Arabidopsis thaliana: one gene and its partner. The protein of the gene in region 1 interacts with the protein of each later gene in a pairwise test. Each region holds a gene or a part of one and is shown in the gene's direction. Other genes may lie near its edges.

The links.
Region 2: the proteins of NAC016 (region 1) and JAZ3 interact in binary tests that used the Arabidopsis thaliana proteins (3 or more experiments, as listed by UniProt).

What each region holds. Positions count from the first base shown.
Region 1 is NC_003070.9:12,447,003-12,451,932, forward strand, and holds NAC016 (NAC domain containing protein 16), read left to right. Parts: upstream 1-1,723; coding exon 1,724-1,946; intron 1,947-2,206; coding exon 2,207-2,484; intron 2,485-2,560; coding exon 2,561-2,860; intron 2,861-2,966; coding exon 2,967-3,537; coding exon of another isoform or gene 3,538-3,545; exon of another isoform or gene 3,546-3,759; coding exon 3,760-4,118; 3' UTR 4,119-4,285; downstream 4,286-4,930. Other genes in the region: NAC017 (NAC domain containing protein 17), read left to right, coding at 4,727-4,913. UniProt on the Arabidopsis thaliana protein: Transcriptional activator activated by proteolytic cleavage through regulated intramembrane proteolysis (RIP).
Region 2 is NC_003074.8:6,117,977-6,123,685, forward strand, and holds JAZ3 (jasmonate-zim-domain protein 3), read left to right. Parts: upstream 1-1,730; 5' UTR 1,731-1,991; coding exon 1,992-2,076; exon of another isoform or gene 2,077-3,106; coding exon of another isoform or gene 3,107-3,152; coding exon 3,153-3,352; intron 3,353-3,612; coding exon 3,613-3,827; intron 3,828-3,902; coding exon 3,903-3,993; intron 3,994-4,074; coding exon 4,075-4,378; intron 4,379-4,475; coding exon 4,476-4,536; intron 4,537-4,612; coding exon 4,613-4,715; 3' UTR 4,716-5,068; downstream 5,069-5,709. Other genes in the region: TDX (tetraticopeptide domain-containing thioredoxin), read left to right, coding at 5,558-5,670. UniProt on the Arabidopsis thaliana protein: Repressor of jasmonate responses. Jasmonoyl-isoleucine (JA-Ile) specifically promotes COI1-TIFY6B/JAZ3 interaction. Acts as a negative regulator of MYC2 function. Feed-back regulated by MYC2.

The sequences.
Region 1 (4,930 bases):
AGACTATTTTTCTCTAGATCCGGCTACCAATCACAGAGTAATTTTTTAATTTGATGTGTAGTTGATGTATACAATAAGCATGTATTTATAGAGAATTAAGACCTTATTAAGTCACCAAAAGATATACATAATAAAGCTACCATATTACACGCAAGAAATTAATGTATTTTGGGAAATTAAGAACCTACTAAAACTCCACGGTCAAAGAAGCCCAACAGTTGTTTAATGAGTTTTACAAAAAGTAATTAGGGTTATAGGTTATTATTAATTTTGACTCGATTAGATGGAAAGTGGAAACCTCGTAAATATTGATTCTATTGAATTAATATATATCTATAACTATATATATTCTATCTTTGTTCATGCTACTATCTTTTTGGCTTAATCTGATAATTTCTCTATTGTTTTAATTAGTTCTTAGTGTCCAGAATCTTTTGATTTCGACGATGTTGTTTATTTCTCTTTTTGTTTTCCATTGTTTGTAATTAAGATTAATTTTTTTTTAGCGTGTTTGCTTGGATGCTTATTACTAGTTGTCGAATAACTCCTCATTTTGGGATGAATCCTTCTCTAATGTTGTTTACCAGTGATCAGAATCCCTCACAAAAGCTCTCTGGAGAATTGAACGAGTTCTTCATGGATTTTTCGAGAATTTTCCACATGACAAGAGGTGAAAATTAAAACATCTTCTACAACTGCATAGAGAACGTTGATTCACATGTCGATTTTTCTTTTTTCTCATCCTTGATCTTATAGATTTGTGAGTCTTCATAACTAAATAAATCCATATGTTTTTGCCACATTTAGGTTTAGATGTCTTGTAATTTTTGTCCTTTTTTGTTTGTCTCCTAGTTTTTGTTTAGAATAAGAATAAAGTTCTATATGCATAGGTTGTTCATTCCATTAATCGAATAGATCGTTTGCCGATATTCGGTCCTATATAGCTATCTCGTCTTCAAAGCTTACTCTTCCCGTCTTTGGATTATTCACTCTCTTCATGGGAGCTGCAAGAATTGCACTCTATTATGGGATTTTTTAATTTTTTCGGTTGGAAAATATATTAACAATTGTAAAAAAAAAAAAAAAAATCTTATAATGAAAAATATGTTACTTTCTACAATAATATTAAGACTTTCATAACTTCTAAGCACTATTTATATACTTTCAATACCTTTATCAAATACTAACTAATATATCAAATATTATTAAGTTATTATGAATAATGTAATAGTAAATTATGTTATCTTACAAAATGTAATCAGTCACATAAAATTTATTGAAGTGAATTGATGCTACAAATTTATATTGTACAAGTTTTTACTCTACAAAATTTATTTTATTTGATTTTATACGATTATTTTATTGTAAGTTTGAAAAATAGTAGTGAGTGGTGGATTCAACATTTAGTTCCTTTGTAACAACAACAAATTAACGAATATTAAAATTTATCAGTTTGGCCCCTTTGGGCGTGTAATTCCAAAAGCCCAGTAAGATTCTCGGAAACTTCGTTAGTCAGAAAAAAGCTGACACATATAATCACAAACAAAATCATTTTTTTGACTCTATCCAAAATCTATCTACCGCCGATCAAAAAACCCTAGAATTTCTTCCACTGTTATGTAAGTTTGATCTTGTTGTCTCCACTAAGAGGCGAAGAGAGAAAGAGGGTTTTAGGTTGTGTGTTCTGTTTCAAAGGGTTTACTTCTCGTTGACCCCGATCGAGATGGTTGATTCTTCTCGTGATTCGTGTTTCAAAGCTGGTAAGTTTAGTGCTCCAGGTTTTCGATTTCACCCTACTGATGAAGAGCTTGTGGTTTATTATCTTAAGAGGAAGATCTGTTGTAAAAAACTTCGAGTCAATGCCATTGGTGTCGTTGATGTTTACAAAGTCGATCCTTCTGAATTGCCTGGTAATTTTCAACACCTTCTTATCGATTTTGATTCATGTTTTCTCTACGTATCGTGATCAATTAGTTTAGGTTATTAATGATGTAGTTGAGTATATGACAAGGAAAAGTTTTGGTTGTTGATGATTTGTTGAGTATATGACAAGGAAACGTCTTTATTCACTATTTAATTCGTATCGATCCTCATTTATGCTCATATGATTTCATTTTCACAATGTTTAGGTTTCCAATTTGTTTATTTGTTATGCAAGTATCAAATTTATGTTGGAATTGGTTTTCTAACACGGTGAATGTAACAGGTCTATCGATGTTGAAGACGGGAGATAGACAGTGGTTCTTTTTCACTCCAAGGAATAGGAAGTATCCTAACGCAGCTAGGTCAAGTAGAGGTACTGCAACTGGTTATTGGAAGGCGACAGGAAAGGATCGAGTCATTGAGTACAATTCAAGATCTGTTGGACTCAAGAAGACTCTTGTTTTCTATAGAGGTCGTGCTCCTAATGGTGAGAGAACTGACTGGGTGATGCATGAGTACACTATGGATGAAGAAGAGCTAGGGAGATGTAAGAACGCTAAGGTTAGTATTATAGCCAAAACTCATCTGTTTCTCTTTTTGATTTATTTGTAGTTTAACTAATCTGTCTTACCTTCAGGAGTATTATGCTCTTTATAAGCTTTATAAGAAGAGTGGGGCTGGTCCTAAGAATGGTGAACAGTATGGTGCTCCGTTCCAAGAAGAAGAATGGGTTGATAGTGATAGTGAAGATGCAGATAGTGTCGCTGTACCGGATTATCCCGTGGTCCGTTATGAGAATGGTCCTTGTGTGGATGATACTAAATTTTGCAATCCTGTCAAACTTCAGTTAGAGGATATTGAGAAGCTTCTCAATGAAATCCCAGATGCACCCGGGGTTAACCAAAGACAGTTTGATGAGTTTGTTGGTGTTCCACAGGTTAGTTTCTTCTCTAATAACATATTGGCTTATGCTTTCTTTCTTTTTTGGGTCCTTTGGTTATTCTGTTGTGCTTCCTTCACTAAATAGATACTTGTATTTGCAGGGTAATAGTGCAGAAGTGATACAGAGCACATTGCTGAATAATTCTTCTGGAGAGTATATTGACCCTCGGACGAATGGAATGTTCTTGCCAAATGGCCAGCTATACAACAGGGACTCGAGTTTTCAGTCCCATTTGAATTCATTTGAGGCTACCTCTGGTATGGCACCTCTTCTAGATAATGAGAAGGAGGAGTACATTGAAATGAATGATCTTCTGATCCCTGAGCTCGGTGCTTCTTCAACAGAGAAATCCACAGAGTTCTTGAACCATGGTGAATTTGGTGATGTTAATGAATACGACCAATTGTTCAATGACATATCTGTTTTTCAGGGAACTTCTACAGATCTGTCTTGTCTGAGTAATTTTACTAATAACACATCAGGCCAAAGACAGCAATTACTTTATGAACAGTTCCAGTACCAGACACCTGAGAACCAGCTTAATAACTACATGCATCCTAGTACCACTCTTAATCAGTTCACTGACAATATGTGGTTTAAAGATGATCAGGCTGCTCTCTATGTTCAACCACCACAATCTTCTTCTGGAGCATTCACTTCACAGTCAACAGGTACTTAAAAAGTCTTTAAACTCACCCTCATCTCAGAGCATTCCCTTATGTTGTCTGCCAAGTTATATTTCCCACGAAGCATTAGTTTTTGAATTTAACCAAGACATGTATATATTATACTCTGTTTTCTTTTTGTTGATATCAAACCCTCTTGTTAAGATCTTGAAACATAATAACCTAGGGCCTTTTTTACTGATACTTTGTGAATACCAACTTACTTAGGTGTGATGCCTGAGTCTATGAATCCCACTATGAGTGTAAATCCCCAATACAAGGAAGGACAAAATGGTGGTGGAACAAGGAGCCAGTTCTCATCAGCTCTGTGGGAATTATTGGAATCAATACCATCAACACCAGCCTCTGCCTGTGAGGGTCCTCTTAACCAGACCTTTGTGCGTATGTCTAGCTTCAGCCGCATCAGGTTCAATGGAACGTCAGTGACTAGTAGAAAAGTCACTGTAGCAAAGAAGCGTATCAGTAACAGAGGTTTTCTTCTGTTATCAATTATGGGTGCTTTGTGTGCTATCTTCTGGGTGTTCAAAGCCACCGTTGGAGTTATGGGAAGACCTCTCTTGTCGTGACCTAGACTCTTGAATCTTGATTCAGCATAAGTTAGCCTGATCCACATCTTTGATTATGTATAGAGTTTGAAAGAGTTTAATTCTTAACAAAAGATTTCTTTTTTCCTGGATTCTCTGATGGCTTTGAAATTTTGCTTGCACTTATCATATTAAGCAGAATTTTTGAACCTCTGTCGTGTCAGACAAGAATGTTGGAAAAAAATAACAATAATGGGCCTGTCGAATTAATGGGCCTGAGCTAGTATATTTCGAGCCCAGTAGGTTCTCACAAACTAAGTAGCAGAAAAAGCTGAGACCATCAAATAGCCAACCAAAAAATCACCTCAATCTACACAAAGTCTCATTTCTCGTTAATTTCCATTTTCGTTATCTCTCTCTCTCGCCGATCAAACCCTAGGTGTATCAATTCGTTCAGATTCCCGGCGGTTGGTCTCACTGTCATGTAGGTTTGATTCATCTTCTCTTCTGGATCTTGAGTGACGAAGAGAGAAGAGATCTGAGTTTTTCTGAGAGAGAGATTTTTCTCCCTCGTTGACCCGATCAGTTTTTTTTCGTCGCTGGGGATTTTCAAATTTTTTTTGAGGGATCGGTTTTGATTTGTTACGTAGATGGCGGATTCTTCACCCGATTCGTGTTTCAAAGGAGGCAAATTTAGTGCTCCAGGGTTTCGATTTCATCCAACTGATGAAGAGCTTGTGATGTATTATTTGAAGAGGAAGATTTGTAGGAAGAGGCTTAGAGTTAATGTTATCGGTGTTGTTGATGTTTACAAAATGGATCCTGAGGAATTGCCTGGTAAATTTCGTCTCTCG
Region 2 (5,709 bases), on another chromosome or scaffold:
GGATGAGCCATCAAAGGATCCACTAAAGCACCAAACTCAAAAAAAAGAGAGCCAAATATTGCAACTACTCAAGTCAGTCTAAATATAGTTAAATGCTGCGCTATATATCATGCATATACATATGTCATTTGATTTTCTCTTTGCCATTATTTACTCTCATTCGATTTTAATACAAAATTATTTAAGTTGTTGTTGTAAACAGACGTTGCTGTTGCTGTTGAGTTTGATTTAGAATAGTTAAGTTTGGTTTTGGTTGGAGAAAAGTTTTCGTTGTTAAGCCAACTCGTGATCATTTAATCTGTTCTTTTTTTGGTAGGGGGTGATCATTGAATCTTTTGTTTTGAGTTTTGTATGTCTATATAGAGTCTAATACCATTAAAACAAAAAAAATGTCGTGGTAACCAGAATTAAATGATGTAAAAACAGAAAACAAGAATTAAATGTCGGATGTAAAAACAGAATTAAATTTCGGATGTTTTATGTGGATCATAGCGTGAGAGATGCGTTTATGGCATCTTTTGATATAATCTTCGCTTTGTAGGTCCACTTTTGATCTGATCTGATCTATTATCTATATGGAATGTTGTGTATATAATAAACTGCAGTGTAGTATTTTCTTAATAATGTGATATTAATATCTAAATTCTAGGCTGGAGAAAATGACGTGTGCTGCATATCCCCCAGACTCGAAATAACGATGTTATCGTGGGAGATGATCGTCAATTTTTTTTTTGTTTAGAGATCGTCAAGTTGTTGTGATCATTGACTCCTTTCCATTTTTTCTATAGATTTGAATTTTAAATATTCATTTTCATAAAAAAATGAAAACTTTATTATTATATTTGTGAGATAATTAGATATGTTTTAAAACATTAGTAAATTTAGTATAGTATTAGTTTTTACTAAATTAAGAAGAAAGTGACGCACGAAATGGCGTAATTTCCTCCCCCGGACCACATGCATCTTATAAATACACAAAAACGATGTCAACGAGTGATTTTAGTAATATGTACATTAAAGTAATATTTTCTTTTTGGTACCAATAATTACCTTAATTAATACAAGTATAGTTTAAGCAACAAGCAACATTCTTTAATAATTCGCGAAAAATATTAATAAAAGTACAATGACAGAAAAAATAATTAAAAATTGGATTAAAAAAAATAATATTAGAGTGATGACATAATCACATGAGGATTTAGATTTAGCTTAATAATGTTTAGTTGTGGAACTAAATTTCCGCAACAATTATTTTGTTGTATTTAAATCATTTTATGAAAGTCTAATCTTTACAATTACTTTATAGTACCATCCGATTAATCAAAGATTAAAAATATAGTACTAAAATACAAATTAATATATTTTGCCAAAAAAATGCAACGTGCAAATGTTTATCTTGGTCAAGAGAACGTGCACGAAAGTAGTGTAACTAATTTTACTATTTTAGATTGAGCGGTGAGACAAAAAGGGGGTTAGACTCACGCGCTACACTTAGCGCGTCAGCCGACAAAAAAAAGTGTTGTCATTGAATAAAAAAATAAATTAAAACTGCCGCTTCGCATCTCGTGAATCATTCACGTTAAAATAGCGCACGTGCCTCGCCACGCGTCTCACCACAAAAAGAAACGCCACACACTGCACGACGATGCACGTGCCTTTTTAACCGACTATATCCGGTGACGTAACCGGGACAACCTGTAGCTGGTTTTTGCGCCAATAGGATATGAGAAAAAAGAATCTTTTTTTTCTTGTTATAGTTATAAATTAATGGTACGATTCACATGTCGCATGCGATTTGTTAATAAAACTAGAAATTGCGGTGAATTAACTTCATTCCACGTTTTTTCATTTTCTCCCTCAAAAGTCTCTGTTTTTTTTCCTTTTTCCGGCGAAGCTCTATTTAGCTTGATTCCGGCGTTTAACACGCGTTTTAATCGAAACAGACATTTGAGATCGAATTAATTTTGTAGCGGGCTGTGTCTTTATTATAGATGGAGAGAGATTTTCTCGGGTTGGGTTCGAAAAATTCTCCGATCACTGTCAAGGAGGAAACCAGCGAAAGCTCTAGAGATTCAGGTTATTTATTACTCTTCTCAATTTTTCTGATTCTGATTGTTTTTAAATCGTAGATTTGTTTGATTGATTAGGAGTTATTAGGACTACTTGTAGTATGGAATTTGTTTTTGGATAGCTGATTTTATGGCTTGCTCGGGAACTGGAATTGTCAGTTTGTTGCTTGGAGCAGAACATTGTCCTTTGCTTTTCTCGGGAGATGTAGAATTTGGATTTGGAAAAACTAGTGTTCTTTTCCAAAGCCTTGTCTTAAACATGCTTTCGGTCGGAGAAATTAACGAGAACTAATCTCAAGCTTCTAACATAATTAAACTCGGTAAACTTTTTTTTACTAGAGTAAATTTTTTTGTTTTGTTTGAAGAGTCTTATAATTGAGAAATACTTTATTAGTTTATACTAAAAAAAAAACGAATACGTAAAATGTTGGAAAAGAGGGGATGTATAGAGACTGATACAAAAATGATAAAATAGAGACGGTTGGTAGTAGGTAGAAAGATTAAATATACTCAAAAGAGTGAGTTGGATTAGTTTATAAGATGATTAACTTCTTGATTGTGTGAGTTGGATTAGTTTATGAGATTATTAAAATATTGATTGTGTATTTGTGTTGTGTGTTGATTAAGCGGAACTTGCGTTAGAATATTGTTCAAGGTACAATGTGGAAATAATAGTTTTCTCACCACGAGGAATATAATTATTTCAACTTTGTTTTCTTATCAGCCAAAACGTGCCACACCATAAAAGTAGTGCATCAACATGTGGTGTGGTGTGGTGGGGTTAAAGTTTGAATCTCTCTTTAATTTAAACTATTAAAACAAACTTAAATTATTGGAGTTTCGTACAATGACTTTCAATCAAATGTTTTAGAATTAGACACGGTTTTCGAAAGTGGTTTTCCCTCGTTGAATTTGTCAACAGTATCAGATTCTACATTGTTGGTTACTAATCTTTTCCTTGAAGTAGGTGTTGAATTAATCCTCTGTTGTTTATGTAAGGAGATCTCGAGACATTTATGGTTAACAGTTAACACTACATGTTTGACTTTAAACTGATTATCTTTTATTCTTTTTCTTTTGTAGCTCCCAACAGAGGAATGAACTGGTCTTTCTCAAACAAAGTATCAGCTTCTTCTTCTCAGTTTCTATCCTTCAGGCCAACTCAAGAAGATAGACATAGAAAGTCTGGAAATTATCATCTTCCTCACTCTGGTTCCTTCATGCCATCATCAGTAGCTGATGTTTATGATTCAACCCGCAAAGCTCCTTACAGTTCTGTACAGGTATTTGTCATCAAAACCTATGTTAACCAAGACCCTTGTGTTTTTTTTATCCTTCGCAAGATAGCTTTAAAAGTGAGCCCTGTTTTATGAGCATATAGTAATTGGTTTTGAGTCTAGTTTAGCACAAGTTCATGGCAATTAGTTTGTGGATCTAATCTTGGTTTAATACTGATTCATTTTAAGTGTAAGCTAAGCTTCTCATTTTTGATAAGTTAGTTCATACAATGCCTCACACCTACTTTATGGCTTGTTACTCTCAGGGAGTGAGGATGTTCCCTAATTCCAATCAACACGAAGAAACTAACGCAGTTTCCATGTCGATGCCGGGTTTCCAGTCTCATCATTATGCACCAGGAGGAAGAAGCTTCATGAACAATAACAATAACTCACAACCTTTGGTAGGAGTTCCTATCATGGCACCTCCAATTTCAATCCTTCCTCCTCCAGGTTCCATTGTAGGGACTACTGATATTAGGTACCCACTAGTCATCATATCATACAGAAACTCTTTCTACATTTTCATAGTTGACTAAAGACTTATTTTTGTCAGATCTTCTTCCAAGCCAATAGGTTCACCTGCGCAGTTGACGATCTTTTATGCCGGTTCAGTTTGTGTTTACGATGACATATCTCCTGAAAAGGTATCTCAATCATTTTCTTCCATATATGCATCTCTTTTACTCGTAAGGTATGGTACTCATTTGCTTTCTTTCATTTCTCAGGCAAAGGCGATAATGTTGCTAGCTGGGAACGGTTCCTCTATGCCTCAAGTCTTTTCGCCGCCTCAAACTCATCAACAAGTGGTCCATCATACTCGTGCCTCTGTCGATTCTTCAGCTATGCCTCCTAGCTTCATGCCTACAATATCTTATCTTAGCCCTGAAGCTGGAAGTAGCACAAACGGACTCGGAGCCACAAAAGCGACAAGAGGCTTGACGTCAACATATCACAACAACCAAGCTAATGGATCCAATATTAACTGCCCAGTACCAGTTTCTTGTTCTACCAATGTAATGGCTCCAACAGGTAAAAAACAAAGTCAGAGACCTGATACTACATTCGCCATCTAACTTACTAGTATTTTCATGGATGTAACTTCATTCTCGTTCTGTTTCTTATGCAGTGGCATTACCTCTGGCTCGCAAAGCATCCCTGGCTAGGTTTTTAGAGAAACGCAAAGAAAGGTACGCAACACTTCTTTAGAATACACCATTCAATAGTTTCTTGGGCTAACTCTCTTTCTCGCTGTGGGTTTCTCAGGGTCACGAGCGTATCCCCATATTGCTTAGACAAGAAGTCATCGACAGATTGTCGCAGATCAATGTCTGAATGCATTAGTTCTTCTCTCAGCTCTGCAACCTAATTTCATCTACAGTAAGAAGGTTGCTTTAGACCACTCCACATCCATATTTGCATTTCAATGGCGGTCTTTTCAATGTCTCAGTTAATTTTTCCTCACTCGCCACACTGAGTTTCTCCTTAGCTTTATATATACGATAGTGTATACTTTGTTTACATGTTTTTTGGTGGAATGGAACTTATGAGAGCATATCAGATATGTACTTGGGAAAATTAGTAGAAACTGTTTGTTTCTTTTTTTTTAACTCTGTTCTTTTGTATATATCACTGAAGCTCGCATATGTATAATTCATGTAATGGAATTGCATCGCTTCTGTTTCCCTAAGTTATTTCTCTAATCAATTTTCTATTCAAATATGGGGATTTTTTTAATAGGATTTGCTAATTTGTACTCTGGTTAACAATAAGCTTGATACATTACCAGTTACCAACTCGAATTCACAAAAGAAGTCATCATTATATATGGAGAAAATGGAACATCTTTTAGAATTTGCTTTAATTCGTTTTGGCTAATTATTTTTCGGTCTTCGTTTTGGCTGTGAGTTTCTTTGTAACATCCTAATTTCAATATGTGGGCCATTTTGTGTTGTAGCCCATCAAGGCCCAATGTCTTATTGCACAACGAAAAGGGATGTTGCAAAAGATGATAAACCGGATATGAATTCAGTCGCGGTTAAGTTAACGCGAAGACAAAACCGGTTGGACATGTTCGGTTTTCGGCGATGATTATTTCAACGTTTTTCAGTCTAATCAAAACCAATACGAGCAGACACAGCTCCGTACGATCACAAGGATTCACTGATTTCTAAGCTTTTCATAGAAAGAAGAAGAAAAAGGCGGAATTCGATGGTGGATGCGATTCAAGTAGCTGAGCTGAGAAGATTCGTCGAGCAGTTGAAATTGAATCCTTCGATTCTCCACGATCCTAGTCTGGTTTTCTTCAAAGAATATCTCCGAAGGTGATTCATTCTTCTCTGACTTATCTTTCTTTCGGTGAA